4 linked regions of the Daphnia pulex genome follow. The protein of the gene in region 3 interacts with the protein of the main gene of each other region in a pairwise test. Links are inferred from orthologs where the notes say so. Each region holds a gene or a part of one and is shown on either strand. Other genes may lie near its edges. The genes, in order: cyclin-dependent kinase 1-like, cyclin-dependent-like kinase 5, cyclin-C-like and cyclin-dependent kinase 14-like.

What was found.
Region 1: the proteins of cyclin-C-like (region 3) and cyclin-dependent kinase 1-like interact in binary tests that used the Drosophila melanogaster proteins (3 or more experiments, as listed by UniProt). The link is inferred for Daphnia pulex from reciprocal best matches to the Drosophila melanogaster genes CycC and Cdk1.
Region 2: the proteins of cyclin-C-like (region 3) and cyclin-dependent-like kinase 5 interact in binary tests that used the Drosophila melanogaster proteins (3 or more experiments, as listed by UniProt). The link is inferred for Daphnia pulex from reciprocal best matches to the Drosophila melanogaster genes CycC and Cdk5.
Region 4: the proteins of cyclin-C-like (region 3) and cyclin-dependent kinase 14-like interact in a two-hybrid assay, tested with the Drosophila melanogaster proteins (2 studies listed by BioGRID). The link is inferred for Daphnia pulex from reciprocal best matches to the Drosophila melanogaster genes CycC and Eip63E.

The regions. Positions count from the first base shown.
Region 1 is NC_060026.1:11,477,872-11,481,344, reverse strand, and holds cyclin-dependent kinase 1-like, read right to left. Parts: upstream 2,335-3,473; 5' UTR 2,184-2,334; intron 2,081-2,183; 5' UTR 1,950-2,080; coding exon 1,901-1,949; intron 1,836-1,900; coding exon 1,540-1,835; intron 1,480-1,539; coding exon 1,324-1,479; intron 1,262-1,323; coding exon 1,098-1,261; intron 1,030-1,097; coding exon 777-1,029; 3' UTR 557-776; downstream 1-556. Other genes in the region: eukaryotic translation initiation factor 3 subunit F-like, read left to right, coding at 1-37, 96-346, 410-493; GATA zinc finger domain-containing protein 1-like, read right to left, coding at 3,070-3,233, 3,289-3,473. UniProt on the Drosophila melanogaster protein: Plays a key role in the control of the eukaryotic cell cycle. Required for entry into S-phase and mitosis.
Region 2 is NC_060026.1:15,917,787-15,921,787, forward strand, and holds cyclin-dependent-like kinase 5, read left to right. Parts: upstream 1-1,466; 5' UTR 1,467-1,609; coding exon 1,610-1,646; intron 1,647-1,770; coding exon 1,771-1,844; intron 1,845-1,918; coding exon 1,919-1,933; intron 1,934-2,002; coding exon 2,003-2,065; intron 2,066-2,137; coding exon 2,138-2,268; intron 2,269-2,330; coding exon 2,331-2,418; intron 2,419-2,527; coding exon 2,528-2,614; intron 2,615-2,678; coding exon 2,679-2,763; intron 2,764-2,822; coding exon 2,823-2,900; intron 2,901-2,960; coding exon 2,961-3,094; intron 3,095-3,155; coding exon 3,156-3,254; 3' UTR 3,255-3,460; downstream 3,461-4,001. Other genes in the region: sperm-associated antigen 7 homolog, read right to left, coding at 3,504-3,649, 3,707-3,806, 3,865-4,001. UniProt on the Drosophila melanogaster protein: Probably involved in the control of the cell cycle. Interacts with D1 and D3-type G1 cyclins. Possible regulator of neuronal differentiation and/or development.
Region 3 is NC_060017.1:5,572,576-5,576,027, forward strand, and holds cyclin-C-like, read right to left. Parts: upstream 2,050-3,452; 5' UTR 1,922-2,049; coding exon 1,890-1,921; intron 1,832-1,889; coding exon 1,725-1,831; intron 1,657-1,724; coding exon 1,450-1,656; intron 1,390-1,449; coding exon 1,266-1,389; intron 1,197-1,265; coding exon 1,072-1,196; intron 998-1,071; coding exon 799-997; intron 695-798; coding exon 622-694; 3' UTR 528-621; downstream 1-527. Other genes in the region: folate receptor alpha-like, read left to right, coding at 43-258, 315-506; adenosine receptor A2b-like, read right to left, coding at 2,921-3,253. UniProt on the Drosophila melanogaster protein: Component of the Mediator complex, a coactivator involved in regulated gene transcription of nearly all RNA polymerase II-dependent genes.
Region 4 is NC_060026.1:753,746-757,769, forward strand, and holds the start of cyclin-dependent kinase 14-like, read left to right. Parts: upstream 1-1,162; 5' UTR 1,163-1,703; coding exon 1,704-1,782; intron 1,783-1,850; coding exon 1,851-2,131; intron 2,132-2,204; coding exon 2,205-2,483; intron 2,484-2,564; coding exon 2,565-2,656; intron 2,657-2,728; coding exon 2,729-2,903; intron 2,904-2,965; coding exon 2,966-3,367; intron 3,368-3,430; coding exon 3,431-3,683; intron 3,684-3,768; coding exon 3,769-3,878; 3' UTR 3,879-4,024.

The sequences.
Region 1 (3,473 bases), on a different chromosome or scaffold from region 3:
GTTGAGATAGCATGCTATGACCCAGAAACTATTGGATGTAATTATAATAGAAAATGTGTATGTATACTGGGAATTAATCTTTGATTGTTTTTCAGTAAATGCCTGCCAGAAAACCAAAACCTCGGTTAAACGTCAAGCGGGCATCGCTTCGGATCTTACTCAGATTGTTGAAGCCTCGCAGCAGATGGAAAACATGCTGGACACTATCTTGGCTTATGTTGACGACGTAATGAGTGGCTCCAAAACGGCTGACAACACGTTTGGTCGTTCTCTATTAGATATGGTTCATTCGGTACCTAAAATGACACCCGACGAATTTGAAGAGATGCTTAATTCAAACCGAAAGGTAGAAAACATTACCCAATATTTACTTATTTAATCTAATTTTTGTAAAACTTTATTAATTTAGGATTTATTGATGGTATTATATCTATCACAACTTACCAAGACTCAACTGTCGCTGAACGAAAAACTCACATTGTTGACAATTTAATTCAGAACGTTGATATAAAAAATAAAAATGAACATCTCCCAATTAAATTACAATTTTCTGATGTAGTCCTCGTGAGCATATTTATTAGGAAACTATAGTATACAGTCACACGTACACAAGGGGGAAGAAAATTTCTTCGCTACCAAGGAAAAGAATCACACCCATCTTCTCTCAGAGAGCAAAAAAAATGATGATTAGGAAAAGCGAAAAACAGAATTTCAAGAAACGACCATCAGGAAGTTGGCCAGGTTTAGTAGCTATCGTTTACATGAGGAATGCTTAATTAAGCAGGCACATTGGTGGGTAAGATAGATTTATCCAGATCGGTAAACCAAGCATGATCTAAAGCATCCTGAGCCGTGATACGAAGGGCTGGATCGTAAATGAGAGTTTTTTGAAGCAGATCAAATCCAATCGAGTCAAGTTGCTTCACGGAATTTTGAAGGTGGTAAGTATTCCAATTAGGGAAAGTAGGTTTATAGTCGGGCATTTTTGAAACGCCTGGCCACATTTCCTCCGTGGGCGTCTTCATTACTCTGTGTTTCAAATAAAATAGGAACAAATGTAATTTTAAAAATAAAAAAAAAAGGACAAGTAACACTACCGGAAAATACGGTAAAGCTGATCAATTTCCGAATCTCCTTGGAACAATGGCTTTTTCGTTATCATTTCAGCCATAATACAGCCAACCGACCACACGTCTATGGGGCACGAATATCTTGATGACCCAAGCAATACTTCAGGAGCACGGTACCATAGAGTAACAACCTTCGTGAGTTCAAAAGAATTTATAGTATACGTCCATGCATTGGGAACCTTCTTTCCTTTACCTCGTGAGTGTAGACACGAACGGGAACTCCAAATACGCGCCCAAGACCGAAATCAGCTATCTTAATAATTCCGTTTTTATCGATGAGTAAGTTCTGGGGCTTCAAATCTCTATGCAAAACTCGACGTCTATGACAATATAAAATGCCTTCCAAAATCTAGAGGGAAAATATAAATCAGGCCAATATATAAATGAGTCCTAAATCTTCTAAGCAAACCTGGTGGCAATAAGACTTAACAAGAGTTTTATCCATCAACTGCCCAGTTGGAATGCTGTCCATGTACTTTTTAAGGTCCATTGACAGGAACTCAAAAATTAAATACAGCTTTCCTTCTTGCATCAAAACATCCTCCAGACAGACGATATTGGGATGTAGCAGCTCTTTCAAAAGTGATATCTCCCTGATGGCTGTCGAAGGAACACCATCATCTTCATTTTCAAGCCTGATTTTCTTCATGGCAACAAATTGTTGAGTCTTACGGTTTTTAGCCTTGTAGACAACACCATAAGTACCTTTGCGAAACAAAAGTTTTAAAATCAGTTCAAGTTACACAGCTTAGTGTACCAGGGATCATTACCTTCACCGATCTTTTCTATTTTGGTAAAGTCTTCCATTGCAGAAGGCATCACTATTGTTTGTTAAGAAACAAGAACAAAAACCAAAAAGTGTGAAGAATTGAAATCTCGGGAAAGTAACGGAAATTTGAAGTCGAATGGCAGCAAACAAAAACTGGAGTGACGTATTCTTCGTATTCCACCTGCAAATCAGATTGTCATCAATTGATTCGTAAGACTCTTGCATAAAATATTTCGTTACACGATAAACAGAGAATAATCTAACAAAGTAAAGAAAGTTCGTACCCAACGTGTTTCCACAGACTCGACTTTAAAGGAAAAGGTGAGCACACTTGGATGTCAAAGAGACGGTGGCGGCCGTTGGACTAAGGAATGTAACCGCCAAATTTTGAAACGACTTCATCACTTCACAGAATCACGGCCCTCTATGGGTGATAATCAGAAACCCATTGGACAAAATGGATGTATTTGACGAACCTACTATACGATTTCGAATTTGTTATAGTTCTTTTAAACTTTTTTAAGGTTTTGAATTAAAACTCAAATTAAAATAACAAATTCCCGCTGGTGATTTCAAGTTATAATTGTCTATTAGTTCGAATGACGCTAGTATTATGAATGAATAAAAACCCATACAACTTATACAAGTTTGAAAAACTCATTAACATTATCGATATTATTTTTAAATATCATTATATTTTAAATGAACTGTTTATTACCACTATAATCGAAACATTTTTACCGGTAGACTAGAAAATATTTCAGCTCAAAATTTCAGCACAAAATAATTTCTAAAAACATTGTTACCCGCAAGGCAAGCCGTAATGCAGGAATGGTCAAGTATTATTTTTAAGAAAGCCGTGCAAGCAGGTAAAAAAATCTTCTATAATTTCCGACATGTAATTTTCGAAAATATCTTACTAAAATTGTGAAAACTCTTAAAAATTTAGAAAAGAACACTTAAAACAGATCAAACAATTTAATTTACTCTTCCTCCGAATTTCAGTGAGGTAGCAGAACATGTGACAAATATTTTTAGTTACAAACTTCAGAAATGATGGAATTGTTTTACAAACGAATCTGTAATGGCATTAAAAGACACAAAGAACAAAAGAGCCGGCTGCCTTGGTCTTTCTATTCTACTATAAACGGATGATCCTGGTGGAATTTTTCATGAATGAATAGTTCTTCGTACGGCACCCATACTTGTCCAAATATAGCCAGCTTCTTTTTCACTAGACACTCGAACATTTTCATCCAGTTTGTAATATTCGTTCGGCGCATGCATTACGAAATCAAGATAATCCAGCTTACGTGGCAATTCTTCTTCAGGACCTAAACCAAGACTGTTTTAATGCTGTACAGAAAAAAAAATATAAAATTCACATACCTAAAATATATGTCTGTGGATCAAATCCCACATCTGGGGGTGGTGAACTTTGAGTTGGGATGAGCCAAGTTAATACAGCACTTTTTTCACAAAATTGGTCTTGCAGAAGCCCACGAATTTGTGCATAATAAACTCCATCATCTTCATCTGTGACTGAAACTATGTCCCCCACTTGATAATAAATG
Region 2 (4,001 bases), on a different chromosome or scaffold from region 3:
AGGAATTTCTCAAATTCCTCGATGACATAAACGATGAAACTAAAATTGTGTACCTCAGCTGATAAAACGTGAATTTCGGGCGAAACACCAACAGTGACGTAGTTGTCCAATACAGAAATTATTGACGGAAGAAACTTTGCCATTTTGATTTTCATAGAATGGAAAATTAATATTAAAATATTTAGATTGCAGGACGTGGCAGATGGTGAATCTTGAATTATCATGGATTTTAACACATCGCTGGCGAGTGAATCGTATTGGTCATCCTAAAAAATTGGTTATAAATCTTTTGCCACTTTAAATAACTCGAGAAAATAGCTAACTTGATTCCACTGAGACGGATCATCTGGATCCAAGTTCTGAGCTTTGAGGCAGATGTCGAGGCACTTGTACAAATTTAACTTGTCATCGAATTCAACGTTTTTCTTTAAAGCACTAAATATGACTGCAAACCATCCTCGTTGGAGCAGAGATTTTGGGTTGAGCTGTGCAAATGACAAGGGCATTATTAGCAACACTAGCCGAAATTGGAAGACATTTCTTTTATCCATACACTTAATATATGATGAAGACACTCTAGGCCTTTCTTCTGGTAATCTGGTTCCCAATCATCGAATAACACTAAAGAAACAGGCACAGCAAAATCTACCGATTCATCAATAGAAGGCAGCTAAAAAAATGAATTGTGAAAGTTTAAGGTTTAATAACTTTCATTTGAATTTTTGATACCATAGTATTGCTGATAATCCAAACAAAACAACTGACTGCTGCAGGGTTTTCTTTGATTTGGTTTTTCCCTAGCTTCGGTTTAAGCTGTTGAAGAGTGGAATAAGCAACACCGTCCATGGCAAATATATCCTGAATATTTTGGAGGTGAAGCTTGGAGAGCAAAAGGTTAAGGAGATCTTTCACATTATCAACTGATTTCTGAGTACTCCATTCAGAACAAATACTGTGCTCACCGCACAGGATGAGTAATGACAATAAAGCTAGATTGTTTTTGGTCCACTCTTCTTTTGTTACGGAGGTACCATTCAGAACTAGCTTTTGTAATTCACATACGGCGTCATCGACTTTACTTGACCATTCACGTTGAAATCCTTTTTCGAAGTGGCTTCGTTCGTTGATAACTTTGACGGGGGGAAGGAGAACTTTCCTAGCTATTTCAGCTACTTCACCCATCGCACACATTGATTTTGCAAAATGTAAAATTTAAAATCCTTGAAGAAGAAAAAACGGCTTAAGGATGCCAATCGTCCAACACAGTTCATAAACATTAGATTTAGAAGAATTTTAATTGAACTTTTGTAACTTTTTTATTTAATTAGTGCAAAAGTAACGAAACTGAGAACAAATTTGAACTGACCACTTGAAAAGAAAAAGTGACAACATGAGCAGACGTAATATTGCAGACGAAAATCTTTCGCCATCTAGCGTTGGAAATTGCAAGTCTCAATAGAAACTGTCAAGATTGATCCTGCCGGCGTCTGCCATAACAATAAAAAAACAAAAACAAAAACGCTTTGTGAGTGCGACTGCGAGAGTGTTTTAATTTTGTTTTAAGTTGATTAAGAGTTTCCCGAGAATCAACGGGATTTATTGTTCTATAATGCAGAAGTATGAAAAATTAGAAAAAATTGGCGAAGGTAATTTTCCCGTACATGTTTGTTTTCCAACCGACACTGAGGATTAAAAGCATACAGACGTTTCACATGTGTGTAGTGAAATTAGCAAGGAATTAATCTCCATCACTTTCTTACATTTCAATAGGAACATATGGTACTGTGTTTAAGGCCAAAAATAGAGAAAATCAGGAAATTGTGGCTCTGAAACGTGTCAGGCTTGTAAGTATATAACACATTTCTTTATATATGATTATTTTAAACTAACCATTTTTATTTGAAAAATTCAATAATAGGATGATGATGATGAGGTATGTCACTTTATATTATTGATCAATCACACCAAGCACTTTTCATTTTATTTCATTTTTCTGGCATAGGGGGTTCCATCAAGTGCCTTAAGAGAAATATGCTTATTGAAAGAACTTAAGCACCGTAATATAGTGAGAGTTTTTCTTTCATTAGCACAATTCTGTACACTTTCTATACTAAGCACATTTCTAAATAACCAACAGGTTCGATTACATGATGTCCTCCACAGTGATACAAAGTTAACCCTAGTATTTGAGCACTGTGACCAGGATTTGAAGAAATACTTTGATAGCTTGAATGGGGAGATAGACAGTGAGCAAGTCCAATCACTGATGTAAGACATCCATTTTGTGCACAAAAAATTTGCTGTTAATTAATTTTCTCCTTTGTCTGAAGGTATCAACTTTTAAGAGGTCTTGCATTCTGCCACAGTAAAAATGTTTTGCACAGAGATCTCAAACCTCAAAACTTGTTGATTAATAAGGTAATGTTTAAGTTTTGGGGCATTTTTAGCTTACCCAGATGATATTAACCCTTTTTTTTAGGATGAGTATTTAAAAATTTGCGTTCACTTACAATCAATTTATTTTTAGAACGGTGAGCTGAAGCTTGCAGATTTCGGCTTAGCAAGAGCATTTGGTATTCCTGTCCGTTGTTATTCGGCTGAGGTTGTTACACTGGTAATATACATAATAATTTGAATTCTAAAAATTACAAACATATCTAACAATTTGTAAAAATCAGTGGTATAGACCTCCCGATGTTTTATTTGGTGCCAAGCTGTATACTACTTCCATTGATATGTGGTCTGCGGGCTGCATATTTGCTGGTAACGTTTGCTGTCCTATTCAATTTCGTGATCAGTATTACATCTCTCATTCTTTTTAGAACTTGCCAACGCGGGGCGACCCCTTTTTCCTGGAAGCGATATTGATGACCAACTCAAACGGATATTCAAGTTACTTGGTACGGAATTCTAAAGTGGTTTACGGAGGGCAATTATTTAATAATTAAATTAATCGATAGGAACTCCAAACGAAGAAGTTTGGCCTGGTATATCTCAACTGCCAGACTACAAGCCATTACCCATCTATCAACCAACAAGTAGCTTCGCGCAAGTTGTTCCAAAAATGAGTCCCAAAGGCAGAGATTTACTTCAGGTATTGACTATAATTTTGATATTTCTCAACTTTTTTCTGACTTCCCTTTTGAATTCCATAGAAATTATTACTGTGCAATCCTGCTCTTCGGATTTCTGCAGATGACGCGATGGCGCATTACTATTTTACCGATTTACCTTCAAGTATAAAACATCTATAAGTTATTTTGATTTTTAATTGTAAGACTTAAATTTTGTATCCCCAAACAAAATGATTCTAGAATATTTTTTATATCGAGCAAATTCCTTTTTTATCGATTCTTTTTTTCTTTACCGTGAACACATTGTACTTGCGCGTACATTTTAGAGGATTGTGGTTAGTCAAATTGAATTGCAGTCCAATACAATACATAATTCGAATGGTAAACTAATATTCACATGCGGATGTTGGAGAAATCCTCTTGGTGAAGTTACTCCGTCTTCTGCCTTTTTTTGGCACGAATGTCGGCCAATGTTTGCTCGATGGAGCGTTGATCTTTTTTGTTCTCGGATGAAACAAAACCGTATTTTCGATTTACCTGAGTAACTTTAACAGCATCTTTTACTGCTTCTTTACCTAGTAGATGTCAAAATTTAGTACGTAGGGCGTTTTGTTGTGCTTAATTTAAATTACCGATTAACCGATCGTATTTGTTAACATATTGAGCTGACGATACTGTACTGTCACTTTTTGAAGCTGGTTGCTCGTCCTCCTCATCTTCAGGTTCGGGATTCTACAAAAGATCAATTCCTTATTAGTTCACTCAGAATAATAATAGCTTTGAAATATACCTGTTTGACTGAATCTGGATTCCATGGTATACCCTTTCTGTAAGCATTTAATTCATCTGGGCCTGGAGTAAATTCTTTTTTATAGACAACCACATGTCTGTCAACATCTTCTTCCCCAAATGAAAATGCAGAAAGGC
Region 3 (3,452 bases):
TAAACTTGTAGAAAATAATTGTATATTTTCTTTTTTATCTAGGTAAACATGAAAATGCGCAGAGAAAGATTCTTGGACGTGCCTCTTTGCGCCACTGATTGTGATGATTGGTTCAATGCTTGCAAGGATGATTACACATGTACAGACAATTGGACATTAAACTTCAAATGGATTAATGGGACCAATCACTGCCGACCTGAATCCGAATGTCGCACCTTTTCCGATATCTTTCAAAACTCATCTAATTTTTGTGAAAGGGTAAACAGTATTAACATTCTCCCTAGAATTTTGATTACATTTTTATTTTCTAAAAGGTTTGGGATCATTCATGGAAGTATACCAATAATTCAGAGCCCTGCATGCGTATTTGGTTTGACGGTGATCAAGGCAATCCTAACGAAAATATTGCACGATGGAAAATCCAACAAAGTAACAGCGCGGAAACGTTTTCAACGAAGCCGCTTACATACGTACTCCCCGCCTTGATGTTGTTTCTAAACTACTAGAATAGAGAAATTGCGTTCTCATTTTCATTGTAAAAGAAAGCATGTATTAAATAGTTGATCATAACACAGTTTTTTTTGTGTTTTTCAGTTTATAAAATGAGAATGATAATGATAATCAATTTGTCACACCCATGGACTGGTCATTTGTGCCCTGTATTCCATCCTGTGATTGTGCTGACGAGGGAGGCCTACATAGTTATCACAGTGTATTAAACAATTTTAAAATTTTATTCTTTGCAATGTGATCAAATAAGAAAGAATTGGGATCTAAATAGGAAATTGAATATCCTACCGACTTGGCTGCGTTTTGGGTTTAGGCATTTTGGCCAACAAACCCTGAATTTCTTTTTTCTCGTCGTAGGTCTTGTAGAGATCGTACAGAGCCAGAATTTGACGCGTTATTTCTTGAATTTTATCCGTATCGACGGCAATTTCCGCAAACCAATTTTTCCCGTCTTTCTGAAGCACAACACAAGCCATTTGCATGGCAGCTAATACAGAAGAAAAGAAAGAAATAAATGAAGTAGAGTTCACATGATAAAAGACAAAAATAATTCAAGCTAACCCAATGCAATTTGGTAAGGGGGGTACAGAAGAGATATATCAGTTCTTAGGCTATCATTGACTATTTTCCATGACAATCCAAGAAGATCTTCTTGCCCAATGTCTTGAACAAATTGGACAAGTGGTCTGTGTGGAAATTTCAAATGAAAACATTATTACATTATGCTTTAAATTTTCTCAGAAACAGTTGATCACCTGTAAGGTTGGTAAACAACTAGACAGCAATCCATGTTTTCCAATAAATAAAATTCACACTCAAGGATGTGTTGTGCTCTGTAGGGAAACTCTTGAGGATAGGCATAGTTGAACTTTGACTTGACTGTTTAAGAAGTTGATTGAATCACAATAACAAATTTTGTCTTATGAAAAGATCACATACCAACTGATTGACATGTTGTGATTAATCTGTTGTTCGAAATTACACCAAACTCTTCGACTTTTGAAGCCAACAGAATGCATGTGGGGGCAAGTAGCAGTGGATCAATGCATTTCAAGGAATTCCTGGCATAAAACCGCTTGAAGTAAACTGTGGCAGTCGCTATGACTTGTTGTTTGAGTTTCAAATGCTCACCAAGAACCTGGATGACTAACATGAGAAAGACACTTTTATTATTCAACATTTAGGAGATGATTCCATAGTTAATATAAACTTACAGTTACTAAAGAAGATGAAGAGTTTTTGATAGTCTTCCTCCGTGACGATGGCGAAATCCCCTTGGCGTTCTCGAACCAAATCAGAAGGGTCTAGTAGCCACTGCTGACTAATAATAAAGTGAGTAATTAAATGTGAATCAAAACGTTAGACAAATAAAAACTAACCAATGCGAGCTTTGCCAGAAATTCCCAGCCATACTCTGCGGCCGAGGTTTAACTTGTTTACTGTGTGTAAACGATGCTCGACACTGTTAGGTTAGACGACGTAAGGCGGCGCTTATTAAAATGTCGCCGTGCCCGGATTTTCTAACATGGAAGCCTTTTCGCACCCGAGCACGCCAATAAACGAAAGAAAAGAAAACATCGTGATTTACTGATTTAGTGATTTGTGAACGATCGTATTCGTGATTTTGTTCTGTTTTTTTTAAAGTTTTATTAGCGTTCAACAAAACAAAACATTGCATTCCATTTGGTTTTAATTAATTAATTGTAAACTTATGACTTACTGTATGACTGTTTTTGAGTGATTAGGATGATGACGCAATGAGTTACTTTGGTTCGACGTAAATAAACATGATTTAATATTTTTGAGACTCATTACACAGCGTATTTGTTTACATATTATTGTCGCCTAACGAAACGTTCATAACACAATGTTTGTTACATTTTACAAAGTTACAAACGATCCATGAATAATTGAGTATGTAAATTTGGCTACTAAACACGAAGGAATTTGACCACTTGTCCGTTTTACAACAACGAGAATCATGAGTACATCAGGCCGAAAAGAAATGCGTTGCAAAAAAATAAGAAAATACAAAATGCGGAATGGACCATTGAGTAAGAAAACAGAGATGATACAAAATATGTGTGGGCTATATGACGATATGGACAGTCAGAGAGAGTTTGAATCCCGTGGCATCGGCACGAACGAAAAATACAATCAACATTCAATGGAGCCTATACACAAGACATGAAAATATTTTAATATCATCAACACAACCGATGGGGGGAAAAAATCATGTGACATATCTCCCGCATCAGTCAACAGCAACGATGGACAGGCCAAGAAGCAGAGGCATCCTGCATGAATAAAGAGTGTAGCCCCCGTGAGAATTGACTTGAACGATTCTTGGCATGCGTCCGGCGTAACGTGAAAAAACAAAAACTATTTCAAAACGTGCCGTCGTGAATTTTTACAAGTCCGTGACTTGTTGCTGATCCGGCGGGATCGTTCGTTGTAGGTAGTCGTCGTTGGAGAGGTCGGTGGAGTTGATTTGCCACTCGATAGGTGGCAGCTCCAGCTGATAGATTTTACTGAGTCGCTGTCGATCGTGCGGCTGGATGGATCCAGCTCTCGATCCGATTCCGGTGGCCATTTCCACCGAGCTGAGCGAGCGCTCCATCGCCCACTTGGAGCAGGGGACGTAGCGGAGCAAACGGGCGAAAGCCAGTCGGAAATCGCGGTTCTTCCATCCGTAAATAAATGGATTCAGGGCTGATTTCCCGAAATACAAAATCATGACAACCTGCCGAAAACAAACGGCAACATTGAGGAAAAGAGTTGCGTGTCGGTTACACAACAACAGCTCGGATAAAGAAAATTAAACTGTTTAGCATGTTTAGATCCGGGTTGAGCCGGTTGTAAAATTATCACGGTTTTTTCCCTATTGTTATACATGTTGTTTACAGGGGATTTTAAATTTTGCCACGCACCCATCTAAACGT
Region 4 (4,024 bases), on a different chromosome or scaffold from region 3:
ACACGTCATCAAAATGGCCGCTCATTTTCCAATTCGACCCAAATTTTCGACATTTGAAAGTCAATCGGAAATGAATCGGCAGAATTTCGATTTAATTTTGACGGTTTTTTCCAAAAGGAGCGTGACTCTAATCTTCCTACAGCAGCAAAGTCATTGTAATATAAAAACGTCACACGTTAAGACTTTTCTTTAATGAGGAAATATGAATATGACCGGGACTTAACAAAAGGAATATAACGACGGCGTGACTAAAAAGCTGCGGGTGGATTATTTATGCATTTCTCATCTCTCTACTTTGGTCGAATAAGAAAAGTTTCAATCTCACCCGCGCCTAGCGAACCATCAGACTATATAATAGTAGTCTGCCATACAACCATAAAGTTTGATTTATTTATATACGTTATAGAGCATTTGCGGGATGATGGGCTCCAGGGAGGTGTGTCGTCTATTATGGAATGGAAAAAGAGGGGGGGGGGGAAATATCACTCACTCACGACTGACACACACGACCAGAGCCAGCCACACCCTTTGAGCGATAGTCGTGTGTGTGTACAAGCAAAAGGTGAGTCGCCCATCACAAAAGGCGACAGAAAACCTTTGATTCCCAGCCTGGCTAGCACCACCAGTGTTTATCCAGGACACAATCTACTTGAAATCTATCGGCCATGGGAAAAGTTAATGAGCATATCTCTATACTATATAGCGCAGCTCATAGAAAGTTTCGTGTATTTTATAGATACCTTTTGATCTATTATTCATAGCGTTTCTATTGTATTAGCAAACACAATCGATGAATAATAAAGCACGACTACACAAACTCGGCTTGAGTATCATTATTTTTTGTGTATTTTTTTTCAAGGTGAAACTCCCGAAAAGAACCAGTTGTGTGACTCACAAAACATTTCTGGAATAGTTGGGAAAAAAATTTCATTTCGTGCATTCGCCTCGGGGGTGACATTAAATTTATGTAAATACTAACTCGTTTGGTCAAGATTTCACGAGGTAAAATTAAAAAAAAATGGAAAATATACATCTAATGTAGAGTAGTAGGTTATCTCTCCTGTTGTAAAGCCAGTTTTCTGTTGTTGTCCTTTTCTCTAACGGATCGATTTGACAGATGATCATTTGCCAAACGTGACAACGCTGTGCTTTAAAACACTCCCCCTCTCTTTTTTCTTTCTGCTGTACACACACATCAGAGAGAGGCTCACGGCATTATACACACACACACAATACTAGAAACATGGCTGCTTAGCACACACATACACACACTGTCGTCCGATTTTGACAGATACCACTCGTTAAAGTTGCACCAGTCTGCGTGAGAAAGTGAGCAGAAGGTAACGAGAAATCGGTGGCGATTTGTGAGGGACTTGCGCGTTCGTACGGAGCCCGCGCTCTGTTATCTTATCGGGCTTTGATTTGGCTTCCAAGTTTAGATTCGATCGCGGCCCCCTCCCACATCCTACTACTGCCCACTCGATCACGACTCGCAACCGCCCAATTTTTGTCGTCTGAGCTCCTTTGTGCTATCGGCTCGTGTGGGATATTCGCGACGAAAAGGGGAGTGCAACCTTAGCAATGACCACCATATCTCAAGTGTTGGCCAATCTCTACGTCACCATCAGTTGCTCATAGGAGAAATGCAGGTGCTCGGTCAGTGATCCGCCTAATACCCAAGAGTTTCCTCATTCCAGTTCGACATGTCGGAAACCAAGAACAAGCTCAGCAAGGTGGCCAGGCTGAGGAAACGACTCAGTGACAGCTTGGGCAGGCTGGCCTGTAAGTGTTTGCATCACCTTTTCCCCCCGTTGCCTCTTTTAATTTCTTATCTCTCTCTCTCTCGACAGCTCTGGCAAAAGAAGACTGGTCCATCAGCCGAACAAGATCTCAGACCAGACTCTCTCACATGGGCTACCGCAAGGACCACAACGGACTCAGCATGAGGGGCAAAGCAGGTTTCTCTGACGAGTATCTGGACAAGCTGGACAGCGAAACCAGGGACTCGCTGCAGGAGAATGGTGATGCATCTGGTGGGCAAGGTGAGCCAGACCTCCGATGGGAGAGGCTACGACTAAGTGACGGAGATTTGCTCAGCGCCAGCCGGGATCCAGAATTCGAAAAATTGAAGGTATAATTGAATCTAAAATTTGTTTTCCCCTGTTCCATTTCTTATGTTATTATTTTTGTATTAATGTCGACAGGGTTCTGGTGGTGCCGATTCCGGTTTGGGAAGTGACGATGCGTGTGCTCAAGATACCAGCAGCCGAATTGCTACGGTTGGAGGTGAACAAGTGGTGCTGAGACGTAGTAAGAAATCGTCCTCGTCCCACCTGAAACAGCGTCCCAAATCGGAGGTTTACCGACACCAGCCCATCGACCCTCACCTGGCCGGAGCCAGTGTCGTCCTACCCAGCGCATCCGCCATCAATTTGAAACCCTCCGAGTCTATTCGTCGCTCCAAAAGATACTCAGCCTTCGGGGTGTGTATTCAATTCATCTTTTTATTTTCATCCGTTCCTTTTTCTGCTTTTTATATGTTTCAAACTTTCCCGCCTTAATAGGGAACCAGTCCGTTTGGCAAAATCGAGAATTACCTACGACTGGAGCAGCTAGGCGAAGGCTCTTACGCCACCGTCTACCGAGGATTCAGCAAGTAAAAACTTTGAGTCGAGTTATTCGAAAATGTTGGTGACATTTCTGACCAATTTGTTTCTTTTAATTTTAGTTTGACTCAGCAAGTGGTGGCGCTGAAGGAAATTCGTTTGCAGGAAGAAGAAGGTGCTCCATTCACGGCCATCCGTGAAGCTTCTCTACTTCGTGACCTGCGTCACGCCAACGTCGTCACCCTGCACGACATTGTGCACACGAAAACGTCGCTAACGTTCGTCTTTGAATACGTCGTAAGTCTCGTCATTTGGCACATTCCGTTTGAATCGATTTTAATTTTTCTTTCTCTCGACAGCATTCGGATTTGGCTCAGTATCTGGAGAGGCATCCGGGCGGATTACAGGCTCACAACGTCCGTTTGTTCCTGTTTCAGCTCCTGCGTGGCCTCTCGTACGTCCACCGGCGCAAGATCCTCCACCGGGATCTCAAGCCGCAGAATTTGCTCATCAGCGAAGTCGGCGAACTCAAATTGGCCGATTTCGGGCTGGCCCGCGCCCAATCGGTTCCGTCGCACACCTTCTCAAGCGAAGTCGTGACCCTCTGGTACCGGCCGCCTGAAGTCCTACTCGGCTCAACGCAATACTCTTCGCCGCTGGACCTCTGGGGCGTTGGCTGCATCTTTGTCGAGCTCCTGACGGGCAGTCCGGCATTTCCCGGCGTCAAAGACGCTGCCGATCAATTGGAAAGAATCTTCAAGGTAAAATTTTTGCTCAATTTTGTATTAATTGACTTTGTTGATGAATTTTTGTGGGTCTCACAGATTTTGGGGACGCCGACGGAAGCGACGTGGCCGGGCGTGTCCCGTCTGCCGCTCTACAAGCCGCAGCGCTTGAACTTTTACCGGACGCAAAGGCTGGGCCACGCGTTCCCTCGTCTCTACGACATTAGCCAGGCCGAGAATTTGGCCTCGAAACTGCTCCAATTGCAGCCCAGCACCCGACTGACGGGCGAAACGGCCGTCCGGCACAAATTCTTCCAGGAGCTGCCCTCGCAACTATTTAACCTGTCTGACGGTAACAAAGAATTTAGGCTCCTTCTTATTCTGTTTTGAAATAATTTCAACAACCTTTTGAATTGTTTTGATTATTATTTTAATAGACGTGTCCATTTTCACGGTCCCGGGCGTCGGTCTCTACCCGGAAGAGCGGAAATTCCCTCCTGTCGTTCTCAGAGCGGCCCAGGAGTTGAAAAACAAGGCCAAATTTTAATTATTTTTTTAAATAACTAAAACACAAAACTAAAAAAAAAATTAAGAAAAAGAAAATTTCAGAAATGAAATTTTTATTTTCATTTCCTTCCTTCCTATCCCGAAATCCGTTCCATAATAGCCGCCATAAATGCCAATCCCGACACG